Linked DNA regions of Struthio camelus. The protein of the gene in region 2 purifies or fractionates together with the protein of the main gene of each other region. This does not show direct contact. Links are inferred from orthologs where the notes say so. Each region holds a gene or a part of one and is shown on either strand. Other genes may lie near its edges.

Evidence for each region.
Region 1: the proteins of vasodilator-stimulated phosphoprotein-like (region 2) and PFN1 purify together in Homo sapiens (affinity purification with western blotting; 3 studies listed by BioGRID and IntAct, with this or other methods). This does not show direct contact. The link is inferred for Struthio camelus from reciprocal best matches to the Homo sapiens genes VASP and PFN1.

What each region holds. Positions count from the first base shown.
Region 1 is NW_027182728.1:91,402-98,675, reverse strand, and holds the start of PFN1 (profilin-1), read right to left. Parts: upstream 3,137-7,274; 5' UTR 3,023-3,136; coding exon 2,891-3,022; intron 864-2,890; coding exon 671-863; intron 1-670. Other genes in the region: ENO3 (beta-enolase), read left to right, coding at 7,096-7,153. UniProt on the Homo sapiens protein: Binds to actin and affects the structure of the cytoskeleton. At high concentrations, profilin prevents the polymerization of actin, whereas it enhances it at low concentrations. By binding to PIP2, it inhibits the formation of IP3 and DG.
Region 2 is NC_090957.1:1,486,609-1,494,586, reverse strand, and holds the start of vasodilator-stimulated phosphoprotein-like, read right to left. Parts: upstream 3,081-7,978; 5' UTR 3,025-3,080; coding exon of another isoform or gene 2,996-3,024; 5' UTR 2,971-2,995; coding exon 2,658-2,970; intron 2,425-2,657; coding exon 2,361-2,424; intron 1,743-2,360; coding exon 1,702-1,742; intron 1,590-1,701; coding exon 1,366-1,589; intron 887-1,365; coding exon 774-886; intron 691-773; coding exon 630-690; intron 331-629; coding exon 285-330; intron 103-284; coding exon 57-102; intron 1-56. Other genes in the region: homer protein homolog 3-like, read right to left, coding at 2,996-3,024, 3,081-3,654, 4,809-4,986. UniProt on the Homo sapiens protein: Ena/VASP proteins are actin-associated proteins involved in a range of processes dependent on cytoskeleton remodeling and cell polarity such as axon guidance, lamellipodial and filopodial dynamics, platelet activation and cell migration.

The DNA of each region.
Region 1 (7,274 bases), on a different chromosome or scaffold from region 2:
TGCTCCGCGAGGGGAACAGCTGCCCCTTCTCACAACAGCTGGGGGGGCAGAGGGGCCCAGGCATCCGGGGGGGATGGGGAAGCGACCCAGGGACCCAGGCATCCGGGGACAGAGCAACAGGGAGCTGGGAGGGGGGAGGGGATGGGAAAGGGACCCAGGCGTCCAGGAGGAGCGAGCAGAGGGGAGGGGATCCAGCACCCAGCAGGGAGGATGGAGGGACCCAGGCGTCCGGGGCAGGTGCGGGGGTGACCCAGGGGCAGCACAGAGGGGCCCAAGCGTTCGGGCATGGTGTGGAGCAGATGCGGAGGTAACGTGGGGTTGGCGTGAGGGGCCCAGGTGCCCGGGGCGGGTGCAGAGCGCACACGGGGGCGGCGTGAGGGGCCCAGGTGTCCAGGGTGGGCGCAGAGCGGACACGGGGGCGGCGCGAGGGGCCCAGGTGCCCGGGGCGGGTGCAGAGCGGACACGGGGTTGGCGTGAGGGGCCCAGGTGTCCAGGGTGGGCGCAGAGCGCACACAGGGGGGACGTGGGGGTGGCACGAGGGGCCCAGGTGCCCGGGGCGGGCGCAGAGCGCACACAGGGGGGACGTGGGGGTGACACGAGGGGCCCAGGTGCCCGGGGCGGGCGCAGAGCGCACACGGGGGGGACGCGAGGGGCCCGGGCGGACACTCACTCTTGTTGGTGACGGTGGCGGTGATGTTGAAGGTGGGGGCGCCGGCGGCGCTCTTGGTGCGCAGGTCCATGCTGTGCTCGCCCTCCACCAGCAGCGAGTCGCGGATGACGGAGCACTTCTGCCCGCCCAGCGTCAGCCCGTTCACCAGCAGGCTGCTCCGGTCCTTCCCCACCAGCGCGTTCACCTCCGCCGCCTGCCGGGCCACGACCCCCGCCGTCAGGGACCCAGGTGTCCGGGCGGGGGGGCGTGGCCCGCCCTGACACCCCCCCGGGGACCCAGGCGTCCGGGGCAGCACCGTGAGCCGCCCTGACACCCCCCCGGGGACCCAGGCGTCCGGGGCAGCACCGTGAGCCCGCCCTGACACCCCTCTGGGGACCCAGGCGTCCGGGGCAGCACCATGAGCCCGCCCTGACACCCCCCCGGGGACCCAGGCGTCCGGGGCAGCACCGTGAGCCGCCCTGACACCCCTCCTTGGGACCCAGGCGTCCGGGGCAGCACCATGAGCCTGCCCTGACACCCCTCCTCGGGACCCAGGCGTCCGGGGCAGCACCGTGAGCCACCCTGACACCCCTCCTCGGGACCCAGGCGTCCGGGGCAGCACCGTGAGCCGCCCTGACACCCCCCCGGGGACCCAGGCGTCCGGGGCAGCACCGTGAGCCACCCTGACACCCCTCCTCAGGACCCAGGCGTCCGGGGCAGCACCGTGAGCCCGCCCTGACACCCCTCCTCGGGACCCAGGCGTCCGGGGCAGCACCGTGAGCCGCCCTGACACCCCCCCGGGGACCCAGGCGTCCGGGGCAGCACCGTGAGCCCGCCCTGACACCCCTCCTCGGGACCCAGGCGTCCGGGGCAGCACCGTGAGCCTGCCCTGACACCCCTCTGGGGACCCAGGCGTCCGGGGCAGCACCATGAGCCCGCCCTGACACCCCTCCTCGGGACCCAGGTGTCCGGGGCAGCACCGTGAGCCCGCCCTGACACCCCCCCGGGGACCCAGGCGTCCGGGGCAGCACCGTGAGCCACCCTGACACCCCTCCTCGGGACCCAGGCGTCCGGGGCAGCACCGTGAGCCCGCCCTGACACCCCTCCTCGGGACCCAGGCGTCCGGGGCAGCACCGTGAGCCGCCCTGACACCCCCCCGGGGACCCAGGCGTCCGGGGCAGCACCGTGAGCCCGCCCTGACACCCCTCCTCGGGACCCAGGCGTCCGGGGCAGCACCGTGAGCCGCCCTGACACCCCTCCTCGGGACCCAGGCGTCCGGGGCAGCACCGTGAGCCGCCCTGACACCCCCCCGGGGACCCAGGCGTCCGGGGCGCCCAAGAGCCCAGACCAGCACCAGCTCCTCCAGGGACCCAGGCGTCCGGGCGCCCGCCCCGGCACCCTCCACAGGCAGGACCCAGGCGTCCGGGGCATCCCCAGCCGCGCCGGCCCAGGCGTCCCGGACCCCACCCAACGCCCTGCCGGGGGCCCAGGCGTCCGGGAGCTCCCTCAGCCTCCGCCAGGGGCCCAGGCGCCCGGGCACCCCTCTGCCCGCCGCCCCGGGGGGCCCAGGCGCCCCCTCCCCTCCCCCACAGGAAGCCCCGGCCGCCCCTCCCCCGCCGGGGGGAAGTTGCCACATTCCGCGCATTTTTCTCAGCGGGGGGAGGGGGGAGACACCGGCGACCCCTCGGCGGGCGGGCAGAGGGCCCAGGCGTCCGGGCCCCCCCGCAGCCCCTCCGCCACGTGCTCGCCGCAGCCCGGACGCCGGGGCTCCTTCCCCAAACCGGGGGTGGCTGGGGAAGGGGAGGGGGTAAAGGGCGCCCGGGCCCCCCGCTGGAGCGGGGAAGGGGGGCGGCCCGGGCGCCTGGGCCCCCCCGCGCGGCCCGGCCGCCTGGGTCCCCTCCCCGGCGGCGGGGGGGGCCGGGCCACGCTGGCAGCGGCCGGGGCCGCTCCCGGACGCATTTTTCTCCCTTTTTTGTCCCGATTGGGGCCGGGGGGGGGAAGGGGATGGGATGGGGGGGATGGGCAGGATCCGGCCCCCCCTCCCCCCGGTCACTTCCTGCCGGCGGGGGGAGGGGCCGGGCCCGACCCCCGGCCCGGGGGGGCCGCGGCGCGGGCGGGCGGGGGGGGGGGCCGGACGCCTGGGCCGGCGGGGGGGCCCGGGGACACCCCGCGCCCCGGGACCGCCGCGGAATCGCCCCCAACGGCCGCCGCCCCCCCGCGGCGCCGCCGCCCGGGCCCCACCGTGATGTTGGCGAAGGTCTTGCCGGGGGTGGCGGCCCAGACGGCCGGCGTGTCCTTGTAGCCGACGATGGCGGCGTCCTGGCAGGTGCCGTCCGCCATGAGGCTCTCCACGTAGGGCGCCCACCCGCTCATGGCGGCGGCGGCGGCGGCGGCGGCGCGGGCCGGGCGGGCGGGGCGGGGCCGGCGGGGGCGGGGCCGGCGGCGGCGGCGGCGGCGCGTGCGCGGAGCGGGCGGCGGGCGCGAGACGGGGCCCCGCGGCGGGGCCGCGCGCCGCCTTTCATAGCCCCGCGCGGCGGGGGCGGGGCTTCCGCGGGGCGGGGCTCGCCCGCAGGGGGCGGGGCTCGCCCGCAGGGGGCGGGGCCGCCGCGGGACACGCCCCCCCCAGCCCGCCCGGCGGCGGCGGCGGCGGCGGCGGCAGAGCGACCCCGGGCAGCGGCGGGCGCTGGGCGACAGGCGCTGCCCCCCCCCCAGCACTGCCCCCCCCGGGCACTGCAACCCCCCCGGCACTGCAAACCCCCCCCCCCCCGCACTGCAACCCCCCCCGGGGCACTGCACTCCCCCCCCCCCCGGGCACTGCACTCCCCCCCCCCCCGGCGCTGCCCCCCCCCCCCCGGGCACTGCACACCCCCCCCCCCCAGCACTGCACCCACCCCCCCAGCACTGCAACCCCCCCCCCCGGGCACTGCACCCCCCCCCCCCCGGGCACTGCACAAGGGGCGCTGTATGACGGGTGCTGCACCTCAGACACTGCCCCCCCCCGACACTGCACCCCCCCCCCGGCACTGCATAATGGGCACTGCACCGCAGGCACTGCACAGCGGGTGCTGCACCCCCCCCCCGGGCACTGCACACCCAGCACTGCACCTGCTAGCGCTGCCCCCCCCAGCATTGCATCCATGTGCACTGCACACGCACAGCCCGGGTGTTGCATCCACCTGTGTTGCATCCCCGGGGCACCGTGCACGTGCACACACGTGTGCAGACACTGCGCACACACACACACACACGCACACACACACACGCACACACACACACGCGCACACACACGCGCACACACACACGCGCACACACACACGCGCACACACGCACACGCACACACAAGCGCACACGCACGCACAGATGTGCACCCCCCACCCCCCCCCGGGGATTGCACATGCAAACCAGTCAGTGCATCCCCGTGCACTGCATCCCTCCGGCGTCGCACACGCAACATCTGGGCACTGCAGCTCCCTCCCGCCCCCCCGCCCCCCTCGAGCGTTGCACGCACACGTGCGCACGCCCCCCCCCCCCCCAGCAGCCCCTCCGGGTGCGGCACCCTTGTGCTGTGTGCACCCGCGGGTGCATCGCACCCCCCGGCCTTGCAGCCGGGTGCGTTGCACCCTCCTCGTGCCGTGCAACCCGCGGGCATCACCGCGCCTTGCACGCCCCTGCACGTCGCCCCCCCCCTTGCACCCCTCCCCGGCCTCCGCACCCCCCTTTGCACGGCCCCTCCCTGCGGGTGACACCCCACGTTTCCTGCCGCCACGGCCCCCCCGGCGTCGCCCTCGGTGGCGCGTTGCACCTCTTCGCGGCCCCCTCCCCAGCTCCCTGCGCCGGGACCCCCGTGTCCGTGTCACACGCAGCCCCCCGGACATGCGTGTCCTCGTGCCAGCATGGAGCAACGCACAGGCCGTGCGGCGCCTCGGCCCCTGTGCGACACCCCCCCGGTGCAATGCAGCCCCCCGTGTGGTGCAGCCCCAGTGCAATGCAACCCCTGGTGCAACGCACCCAACTCCCGGTGCAACGCACCCCTCGTGCACTGCAACCCCTGGTGCAACGCACCCAACTCCCGGTGCAACGCACCCCTCGTGCACTGCAACCCCTGGTGCAATGCACCCAACTCCCGGTGCAACACACCCCTCGTGCACTGCAACCCCTGGTGCAACGCACCCAACTCCCGGTGCAACGCACCCCTCGTGCAATGCAACCCCTGGTGCAACGCACCCAACTCCCGGTGCAACGCACCCCTCGTGCAGTGCAACCCCTGGTGCAACGCACCCAACTCCCGGTGCAACGCACCCCTCGTGCAGTGCAACCCCTGGTGCAACGCACCCAACTCCCGGTGCAACGCACCCCTCGTGCACTGCAACCCCTGGTGCAACGCACCCAACTCCCGGTGCAACGCACCCCTCGTGCACTGCAACCCCTGGTGCAACGCACCCAATTCCCGGTGCAACGCACCCCTCGTGCACTGCAACCCCTGGTGCAACGCACCCAACTCCCGGTGCAACACACCCCTCGTGCAATGCAACCCCTGGTGCAACGCACCCAATTCCCGGTGCAACGCACCCCTCGTGCACTGCAACCCCTGGTGCAACACACCCAACTCCCGGTGCAACGCACCCCTCGTGCAATGCAACCCCTGGTGCAACGCACCCAACTCCCGGTGCAACGCACCCCTCGTGCAATGCAACCCCTGGTGCAACGCACCCAACTCCCGGTGCAACGCACCCCTCGTGCACTGCAACCCCTGGTGCAACGCACCCAACTCCCGGTGCAACGCACCCCTCGTGCACTGCAACCCCTGGTGCAACCCACCCCTCGCGCCATGAGCCCCCCAGCACAGCGCAACCCCAGAGCAAACCAACTCCTGGTGCAACGCCCCCCCCCGTGCGATGCCCCCCCGCCGCGCTCCCCGCCCCGTGCACACGCGTGTGCGATCGCACATGCATCGGCCCATATCTCCCGGCTGCTTTGAGTCAGCCCCGGGCGGGGACTTTCCGGGGGGGGGAGGGGGGGAGGGGCGGCGGTTTCACTTCCTGTCCCGGGCGGGGGAGGGGGCCGAGGCGCCGGCGCTGGGGGCAGGCGGCGTCCGGGGGACCCAGGCGTCCGGGCAGCGGGCCCTGGACCCCGCGCCTGCCTGGGGACCCAGGCGTCCGGGGGACCAGGGGGTCGGAGGCAGCCGGGCGCCTGCCCCTCCCCCCCGCTGCGAACTTCCCCCAGCAGTGTCGCCACCGCGGCCCCTCCCCCGCTCACGCCAACCCGGGGCATCATGGGAAATGGGGGGGGGGCAGGAAACCAGCTCGTCCTGGCCGAGGGACCCAGGCGTCCGGGGGCCCCTCTGCCCCCCCCCGGGGCCCAGACATCCGGGGCCCCCCCCGGGGCCCAGGCGTCCGGGGGCCCAGGCGTCCAGGGGCCCTGCCCCCCCCGGGGCCCAGGCGTCCGGGCCCGCCCCGCCCCCGCCCCGCTGTGGGAACTTCCCCGGGAAGTGGGTTTTTAGCAGCGAGCGGAGCCGGGGCCCCTCCCCCTCCCCCTGCCCTATGGGCTCCATAGGGCCCGACCCCCCCCCAACGTCCCCTATAGGCCCCACGGGGCCCATCTCCCCCCTCCCGTTTCCCCTATAGGGCCCCGGCCCCTATAGACCCCGCAGGGCCCCTCCCCTCCCCCCATCCCCTATGGATCCCATAGGACCGGTGCCATTCCCAGCACAGCCGCCAGGCGTCCCCCTCCCCCCCCCAGGGACCCAGGCGTCCGGGGGCTCCCCCCCCCCCCATCCTCCAGGGACCCAGGCGTCCGGGTGCTCCCCCCCCCCCATCCTCCAGGGACCCAGGTGTCCGGGCGCCCCCGTGCGGTGGGGCCCAGGAGTCGCCCAGGGACCCAGGCGTCCGGGCAGCCTCAACTCCAGGGGACCCAGGCGTCCGGGTACCCCCAGTCCCGGGGGGACCCAGGTGTCCGGGTGCCCCCAGCCCAAGGGGGACCCAGGCATCCGGGTGCTCCCCCCCCCACATCCTCCAGGGACCCAGGCGTCCGGGCAGCCTCGGGGGGACCCAGGCATCTGGCTGCTCCCAGCCCACGGGGGCCCAGGCGTCCGGGCGTCTCGAGTTACCGTGTCCTTTCCTCGAGCTCCGACCTTTGGGGGGGGCTAAAAATAGCCCGGGGGGGGCAGGGACCATCGCAAAGTGCCACCAGGGCCACCAGCGCCCGGACGCCTGGGCCCCCTGGGGGCTGCGAAGCCTGGTGGGGGAGGGGGGCAGCTGGGCCCCCCCGGACACCTGAACCCCCTGGGGGGGGCAGCGGGGCAGAGCGGGGGTCCCCGGACGCCTGGGCCCCCGGGGGGGCAGTCAGGCCTGGCGGGTGGGGCAGGGGCGAGCCCACCCGGACGCCTGGGCCCTGGACGCCTGGGTCCCGCGTTTGCAGATGGTCCCTGGGGGAGGCGGGGGCAGGGGATGGGCATAAAAGGCCCTCGGGGACCCCCCGGGGTCACTCGGAGCCCAACCAGCACCAGTGAGCAGCAGCGCCCGGACGCCTGGGTCCCTGTGGGGTGCCCGGACGCCTGGGACCCCCCGGATGCCTGGGACCCCTGGGGGTAGCGGGGTCTATAGTGCAGAGCGGGGCCACCCGGACG
Region 2 (7,978 bases):
CCTACACCCCGGGTCCCCCAAATCCCCCCTGGCACCCCTTTGCCCCCAGCACCCACCGGGGCAGCGTGGTGCTGGCCTTCTCCCACGGCCTCCGGATGGGCTCTGCAGTGAGAGAGCAGGGGGTGAGGGGGAGGCAGAGCCCCCCCTTCAGGGGCGCAGCCACCCACCACCCTCCCCCCCCCCAAAAAAAACCCGTTCCTCTCTCGGGACTACAGCTCCCAGCAGGCTCTGCGCCGCGCCGCGGCGGCAGGGCATGCTGGGAGTCGTAGTTCCTCCGCACTCACCCGCGGACTGCCCCGCGGTCCTAGTGCTCGCTGGCTCCGCGTCGTCCTGTGGGGAGGGGCAAAAAAAGGGGTCACGGCGGGGTATTTACCGGGGGGGGGGGGGCGGGTAGCCAGGTTGGAGGGGGGGGACAAGGGGATCCGCACCAGCTGGGGACAATGGGATTAACTGGGAGAGAGAGAGAGAGAGGTGCCATCCCCCCCCCCCCCCCAAAATACCAGATGGGGGCAACAGGGAGCCCCCAGGAGAGGAGCAATACTCAGCGGGGGGGGGGGGGGGGGCAATGGGGCAGCGCAGGGATGGGGGGGCACCCCCAAAGCAGTATTTCGGCAAGGGGGGGCACTCACGCTGCCGGCGTCCTCGTCCCTCTTTGGCGCTGGCTTGTCCCCCTGCAGCGTGGCCTTTCTCCTGGGGGGGGGGGGGAGGTCAGCGCAGTGTCCCCCCCCCCAAACCTGCGTCACCGCCCCCCCCACAATGCGGCACCCCCTCACCGTCGGGCCAGCATGGCGCTCATCTCCTCCATGAGGCCCCCCCCGCCTCCCCCGCGGGTGCCATCGCCCTTGGGTGCTGCTGCCGCCACCGCCGGGCCGGGCGCCTCATCCTGCTGGGGGGAAACGGGGTGAGCGCGACCCCCCCCCCGGATTTGTTCCCCCTCCCGGGGCTGCAATCATCCCTGGGAATTGCCCCCAAAATGGGTATTACCCCCCTGCAGGGCTGCCCCTCCTCCCCCCCATAGGAACTGCCCCCAAACCAGGTATTACCCCCCAGGGGCTGCCCCCCCCATGGGAACTGTCCCCAAAACAGGTATTACCCTCCTGGGGCTGCCCCCCCCGTGGGAACTGCCCCCAAAATGGGTATTACCCCCCTGCAGGGCTGCCCCCCCCGTGGGAACTGCCCCCAAAATGGGTATTATCCCCCTGCAGGGCTGCCCCCCCCCATGGGAACTACCCCCAAAACAGGTATTACCCCCCAGGGGCTGCCCCCCCCCGTGGGAACTGCCCCCAAAACGGTATTACCCCCCACCGCAGAGCTCCCCCCCCATTTTGCCCCCCCAGGGGTAATTCCCCCCCCCCCCCCCGGTACCTTGCCGACTTTCCTGAGTTTGGCCCCCGCGATGGCGGCGGCGAAGCCGGAGCCCCCCCCGGACGCCCCCCCGGGGGCACCCGCGGGCCCGGGCAGGGGTGGTGCCGGCGGGACCCCGGCGGCAGCTGGGGGGGGTCCGGGAGGCGGGGGGGGCCCCGGGGGTCCCGGGGGTGGTGGGGGGCCGGGGGGCGGCGGAGGCCCCCCCGCAGGCAGGGCCGGGGCACCTGTGGGGGGAGAGTGGCTCATGGGGGGGCACCCACGCTGGCCCCCCTCTCCCCGTGGGGGGTTTTTTGGGTGGGGGGGTGGGCTCATGTCACCCCCCTCCCCGGCACCCACCTGCGCCGGCCACGCGCCGCTCCAGCTCCTCCGGCGCCGGCCTGCGGGGAGAGGGGTCAGCACCCGTGCCCCCCCCCGGGGTGCCCTGACCCCCAAGTCAGCACCCATGGATGTCCCTGGGGCACCCTGACTCCCAAGTCGGCACCCGCGGCCCCCCCAGGGCACCCTGACCCCCAACTCAGCACCCACAGACCCCCCTGGAGTACCCTGACCCCGAAGTCAGCACCCGCGCCCCCCCTGGGGTGCCCTGACCCCCAAGTCAGCACCCGTGGCCCCCCCGGGGATGCCCTGACCCCCAACTCAGCACCCACGGACCCCTCCGGGGGTGCCCTGACCCCCAACTCAGCACCTGTGGCCCCCCCCGGGGCACCCTGACCCCCAAGTCAGCACCCATGCACCCCCCTGGGGCACCCTGACCCCCAGGCCAGCACCTGTGGTCCCCCAGGGGCACCCTGACCCCCAACTCAGCACCCACAGATCCCCCCGGGGCACCCTGACCCCCAGGCCAGCACCCGCGCCCCTCCAGGGCATGTTGACCCCCAAGTCAGCACCCACAGACCCCCCCACAGCCACTGTGTCCCCCAAGTCAGCCCCCCCCACATGCAGGGGGTCTCGGGGGGGGGAATGAGCACCCCAGGGTGCCCTTGGGGGGCTCCTACCTCCGCTGCTGCTCCGGCTCCTCCAGCGACGGGCCGTTGGGGACGGGCCAGGGCTGAGCGGGGGCTGGCGGGGGGGGACGAGAGCTCAGAGCAGCACCCGGGGACGTCCCCAGGCTGGGGGGACGTCACAGTGGGCCACCCCCGGGTGTCACCTCATCCGTGCTCACCCACCTCCAGGGTGGCAGCGAGGAGCCTGGTGTCCTCGCACAACCCAAAGCTGAGACCCCCCCCACCCCCCAACCTGAGGGATGCCACCCCACGGTGTCACCTCCCTGGTGTCCCCACGTCCCCGCTCACCGGCCTCCAGCACCTCCAGGGCCTGGAGCATGGCGGTGGCGAAGAGGGTGGCGTCCTCGCGCGACCCGAAGCTCAGTCCCCAGCCCTGGGGGACGTCACCCCGTGCCACCACCTCCCTGGTGTCCCCACATCCCCGCTCACCGGCCTCCAGCACCTCCAGGGCCTGGAGCATGGCGGTGGCGAAGAGGGTGGCGTCCTCGCGCGACCCGAAGCTCAGTCCCCAGCCCTGGGGGACGTCACCCCGTGCCACCACCTCCCTGGTGTCCCCACGTCCCCGCTCACCGGCCTCCAGCACCTCCAGGGCCTGGAGCATGGCGGTGGCGAAGAGGGTGGCGTCCTCACGCGACCCGAAGCTCAGTCCCCAGCCCTGGGGGACGTCACCCCGTGCCACCACCTCCCTGGTGTCCCCACGTCCCCGCTCACCAGCCTCCAGCACCTCCAGGGCCTGGAGGGTGGCGTCCTCGCGCGACCCAAAGCTCAGTGCCCAACCCTGGGGGACGTCACCCCGTGCCACCACCTCCCTGGTGTCCCCACGTCCCCGCTCACCGGCCTCCAGCACCTCCAGGGCCTGGAGCATGGCGGTGGCGAAGAGGGTGGCGTCCTTGCGTGACCCGAAGCTCAGTGCCCAGCCCTGGGGGACGTCACCCCGTGCCACCACCTCCCTGGTGTCCCCACGTCCCCGCTCACCGGCCTCCAGCACCTCCAGGGCCTGGAGCATGGCGGTGGCGAAGAGGGTGGCGTCCTTGCGCGACCCGAAGCTCAGTCCCCAACCCTGGGGGACGTCACCCCGTGCCACCACCTCCCTGGTGTCCCCACGTCCCCGCTCACCGGCCTCCAGCACCTCCAGGGCCTGGAGCATGGCGGTGGCGAAGAGGGTGGCGTCCTCGCGCGACCCGAAGCTCAGTCCCCAGACCTGGCGGGCATCCCGCCACTGGTGGAAGCTCGGCGTCGCCTGGTTGTACTTGAGACCCTTGGCGATGGCGCAGTTGATGACCACCTTCGGGGGGGACACCGAGGTCACTCGATACCCAGGTCCCCCCCCCCCCAAGCTCTGACCCCCAAGCTGGGGACCCCACAGACAGTGTCCCCAGCCCCCCAGTCCCAACAGTCCTCCCAGTGTCCCCAAGCCCTAGGGGTGTCCAGAGCGTCCCCACCCTCTCAGTCCCAGCAGTGTCCCCGGTGTCCCCAGCCAACCCTGGCCCTGGTGTTCCCCCCAGTGTCCCCAGCCCTGGCAGTGTCCCTGGTGTCCCCACCCTCCCAGTCCCCGTGGTGTCCCCAGCCACCCCTTGCGGTCCCTCCAGTGTCCCCAGCCCCAGTGGTCCCCCCAGCATCCCCAGGCCCTGGGGGTGTCCCCAAACCCCCCGATGGTCCCTGTGGTGTCCCCAGCCCCAGCGGTCCCCCCGGTCCCCAGCCCCCTAGCAGTCCCCACCTCCCCAGCGGTCCCCATGGCATCCCCAGCCCCCCAGCGGTCCCCCCGGCAGTCCCCCCGCTCCCCAGCCCCCCGGCGGTCCCCCAGTGTCCCCAGCCTCCTAGCAGTCCCCCAGTGTTCCCAGCCCCCCCCCAGTGTCCCCAGCCCCCCAGCAGTCCCCCAGTGTTCCCAGCCCCCCTGGTGTCCCCAGGCCCCCGGCAGTCCCCCAGTGTTCCCAGCCCCCCCAGTGTCCCAGGGTTCCCAGCCCCCCCGATGTCCCCAGCCCCCCAACAGTCCCCCAGTGTTCCCAGCCCCCCTGGTGTCCCCAGGCCCCCGGCAGTCCCCCAGTGTTCCCAGCCCCCCCAGTGTCCCAGGGTTCCCAGCCCCCCACGATGTCCCCAGCCCCCAACAGTCCCCCAGTGTTCCCAGCCCCCCCGATGTCCCCAGCCCCCCAGCAGTCCCCCAGTGTTCCCAGCCCCCCCCGATGTTCCCAGCCCCCTAACAGTCCCCCAGGGTTCCCAGCCTCCCCGGTGTCCCCAGCCCCCCTGATGTCCCCAGCCCCCCGGCGGTCCCCCAGTGTCCCCAGCCCCCCCCGATGTCCCCAGCCCCCCAGCAGTCCCCCCAGTGTTCCCAGCCCCCTGGTGTCCCCAGGCCCCCGGCAGTCCCCCCAGTGTCCCCAGCCCCCCCCCGATGTCCCCAGCCCCCCGGCGGTCCCCCCGGCCCCCCCCCCCCGGCGGTGGCACCTGCTGGTCGGGCTGCAGCTTGCGGCCGACGACGCGGAAGGCGGGGGGGGCGCCGCCGGCGCTGCGGTACAGCTGCACCCGGCTGGGGGCCTGGGGGCCGCCGCCCGCCGCCACCCACTTCTTGTTGGCGTCGTCGTAGAGCATCACCGTGGCCCGGGCGCTGCACACCACCGTCTCGCTGCGGGCGGCCGCCGGCCTCAGCGCCCCGGCACCCGCCCGGGGGGCGCCGGGTGCTCCCCCAGGCCGGGCGGGGGGCACCCATGGGGCGTGGGGCACCCCTAAAGCTGGGCAGGGGGCACCCACGGGGCGTGGGGTGTCCCCAAGGCTGGGCAGGGGGCACCCACGGGGTGTGGGGCACCCCTAAAGCTGGGCAGGGGGCACCCACGGGGCATGGGGTGTCCCCAAGGCTGGGCAAGGGGCACCCATGGGGCGTGGGGCACCCCCCAGGCCAGGCAGAGGGCACCTATGGGGCGTGAGGCACCTCTAAAGCTGGGCAGGGGGCACCCAGGGGGCGTGGGGTGTCCCCAAGGCTGGGCAGGGGGCACCCACGGGGCGTGGGGCACCCCTAAAGCTGGGCAGGGGGCACCCAGGGGGCGTGGGGTGTCCCCAAGGCTGGGCAGGGGGCACCCACGGGGCGTGGGGCACCCCTAAAGCTGGGCAGGGGGCACCCACGGGGCGTGGGGTGTCCCCAAGGCTGGGCAAGGGGCACCCATGGGGCGTGGGGCACCCCCCAGGCCGGGCAGAGGGCACCCATGGGGCGTGAGGCACCTCTAAAGCTGGGCAGGGGGCACCCACGGGGCATGGGGCATCCTCAAGGCTGGGCAAGGGGCACCCATGGGGCATGGGGTGTCCCCAAGGCTGGGCAAGGGGCACCCATGGGGTGCGGGGTGTCCCCCAGGCCGGGCAGGGGACACCCACAGGGCACAGGGCATCCTCAAGGCTGGGCAAGGGGCACCCACGGGGTGTGGGGCACCCCTAAAGCTGGGCAGGGGGCACCCACGGGGCGTGGGGTGTCCCCAAGGCTGGGCAGGGGGCACCCACGGGGTGTGGGGCACCCCTAAAGCTGGGCAGGGGGCACCCACGGGGCATGGGGTGTCCCCAAGGCTGGGCAAGGGGGCACCCACAGGGCGTGGGGCACCCCCCAGGCCAGGCAGAGGGCACCTATGGGGCGTGAGGCACCTCTAAAGCTGGGCAGGGGGCACCCACGGGGCGTGGGGCATCCTCAAGGCTGGGCAAGGGGCACCCCCCAGGCCAGGCAGGGGGCACCCATGGGGTGCGGGGTGTCCCCCAGGATGGGCAGGGGGCACCCACGGGGCACGGGGCATCCTCAAGGCTGGGCAAGGGGCACCCATGGGGCATCCCCAAGGCTGGGCAAGGGGCACCGATGAGGTGTGGGGTGTCCCCCAGGCCGGGCAGGGGGCACCCATGGGGCACGGGGCATCCTCAAGGCTGGGCAAGGGGCACCCACGGGGTGTGGGGCACCCCTAAAGCTGGGCAGGGGGCACCCACGGGGCATGGGGTGTCCCCAAGGCTGGGTAGGGGGCACCCACGGGGGGCCGAGTGTCCCCCCAGGCTGGGCAGGGTGCACCCACAAGGCTGGGCAGGGGGCACCCACGGGGCATGGGGCACCCCCCAGGCCAGGCAGGGGGCACCCACGGGGTGTGGGGCACCCCTAAAGCTGGGCAGGGGGCACCCACGAGGCATGGGGTGTCCCCAGGGCCGGCCAAGGGGTACCCATGGGGTGTGGGGCATCCTCAAGGCCAGGCATGGGGCAACTAGTGGGTGTGGGGCACCCCCAGGGCTGGGCAGGGGGCACCTACAGGGTGTGGAGCACCCCTAAAGCTGGGCAAGGGGCACCCCCAAGGCCAGGCATGGGGCACCCCTGGGTGTGGAGCATCCCCGGGACACGGGGCGACCCCAAGGCTGGCCATGGGGCACCCCTGGGACATGGGGCAACCCCCAAGGCTGACCATTGGGCACCCCTGGGTGTGGGGCACCCCAAAGTAGGCCATGGGGCACCCCAGGGACATGAGGACCCCCAAGGCTGGCCATGGGGCACCCCTGGGTGTGGGGCACCCCCAAAGCAGGCCATGCAGCACCCCTGGGACATGGGGACCCCCAAGGCTGGCCATGGGGCACCCCTGGGTGTGGAGCACCCCTGGGACACGGGGCGACCCCAAGGCTGGCCATGGGGCACCCCTGGGTGTGGGGCACCCCTGGGACATGGGGCGACCCCAAGGCTGGCCATGGGGCACCCCTGGGTGCTTCCCCCCCCCGCCAGGACAGGCACCCAAACCACAAGCACCCCCCATACTCCCCCCCACCCCACCCCTCCCCACTCCTTCCCCTTATCAGCAGGGGACCCAGGCGTCCGGGCCCTGCCCCCTTCCCCCCCTCCCCCATTTCCTCCGGGTGCGGAGAGGGCCCAGGCGTCCGAGCTGTGCCCCTCCCCCTTCCCGAGGGCAGGAGCTGGGACATCCGGGTTGGCGCAGGATGGGGTGGGGGGGGGGAACAAGTCACCGAAGTCTGTGACACCCCAGGGTGGGGGGGCCGCCAGGACGCCTGGGCCCCCCCCTCAAGGCCCCAGCGGGTGCCCCGGGTGCACCCTGGGGTGCTGGGGGGGGGGACACTGTGGGGCAGGAAGTATCGTGGGGCCGGGGGGGGGGGGGCCGCGCCGGCAGTGACCAAATAAGGGCAAGTTTGGTGCCGCCGCGCGGCCGGACCAGCACCCATGGGTGCCCCCCCCCAAAACACCGTGCTGGGCAGGGGGTTGTCCCCACCCGGACACCTGGGCCCCCCCAGGGTGGGCATCGGTGGGAGTTTCCCAGCATGCTTTGCTGCAGGATAGGGGTCGGGGGGTGCAGTAGCAGGCAGTGGGTGCCCCCTCCTGCACCCCCCCCCACCCCCCCCCACCGTGGGGCACCCGGGGCGGGAAGGGGAAGTTGAGGCCGGCGCGGGGGCAAAGAGCACCCAAGGGTGCTGCCGCCCGGCTGGCGCCTGTGGGGAAACCCGGGCAGCGAGGGGGGTGGTGGCACCCACGGGTGCCCCGAGGGGGGTGGGGAGGGCTGCCTGAGGACCCCACTCACCTGGTGACCCTGGGGACCCCCAGGACTGGGTGACCCTCACCCTGGGGACCCTACTGATCTGGGGACCTGAACCCCAGGGACCCC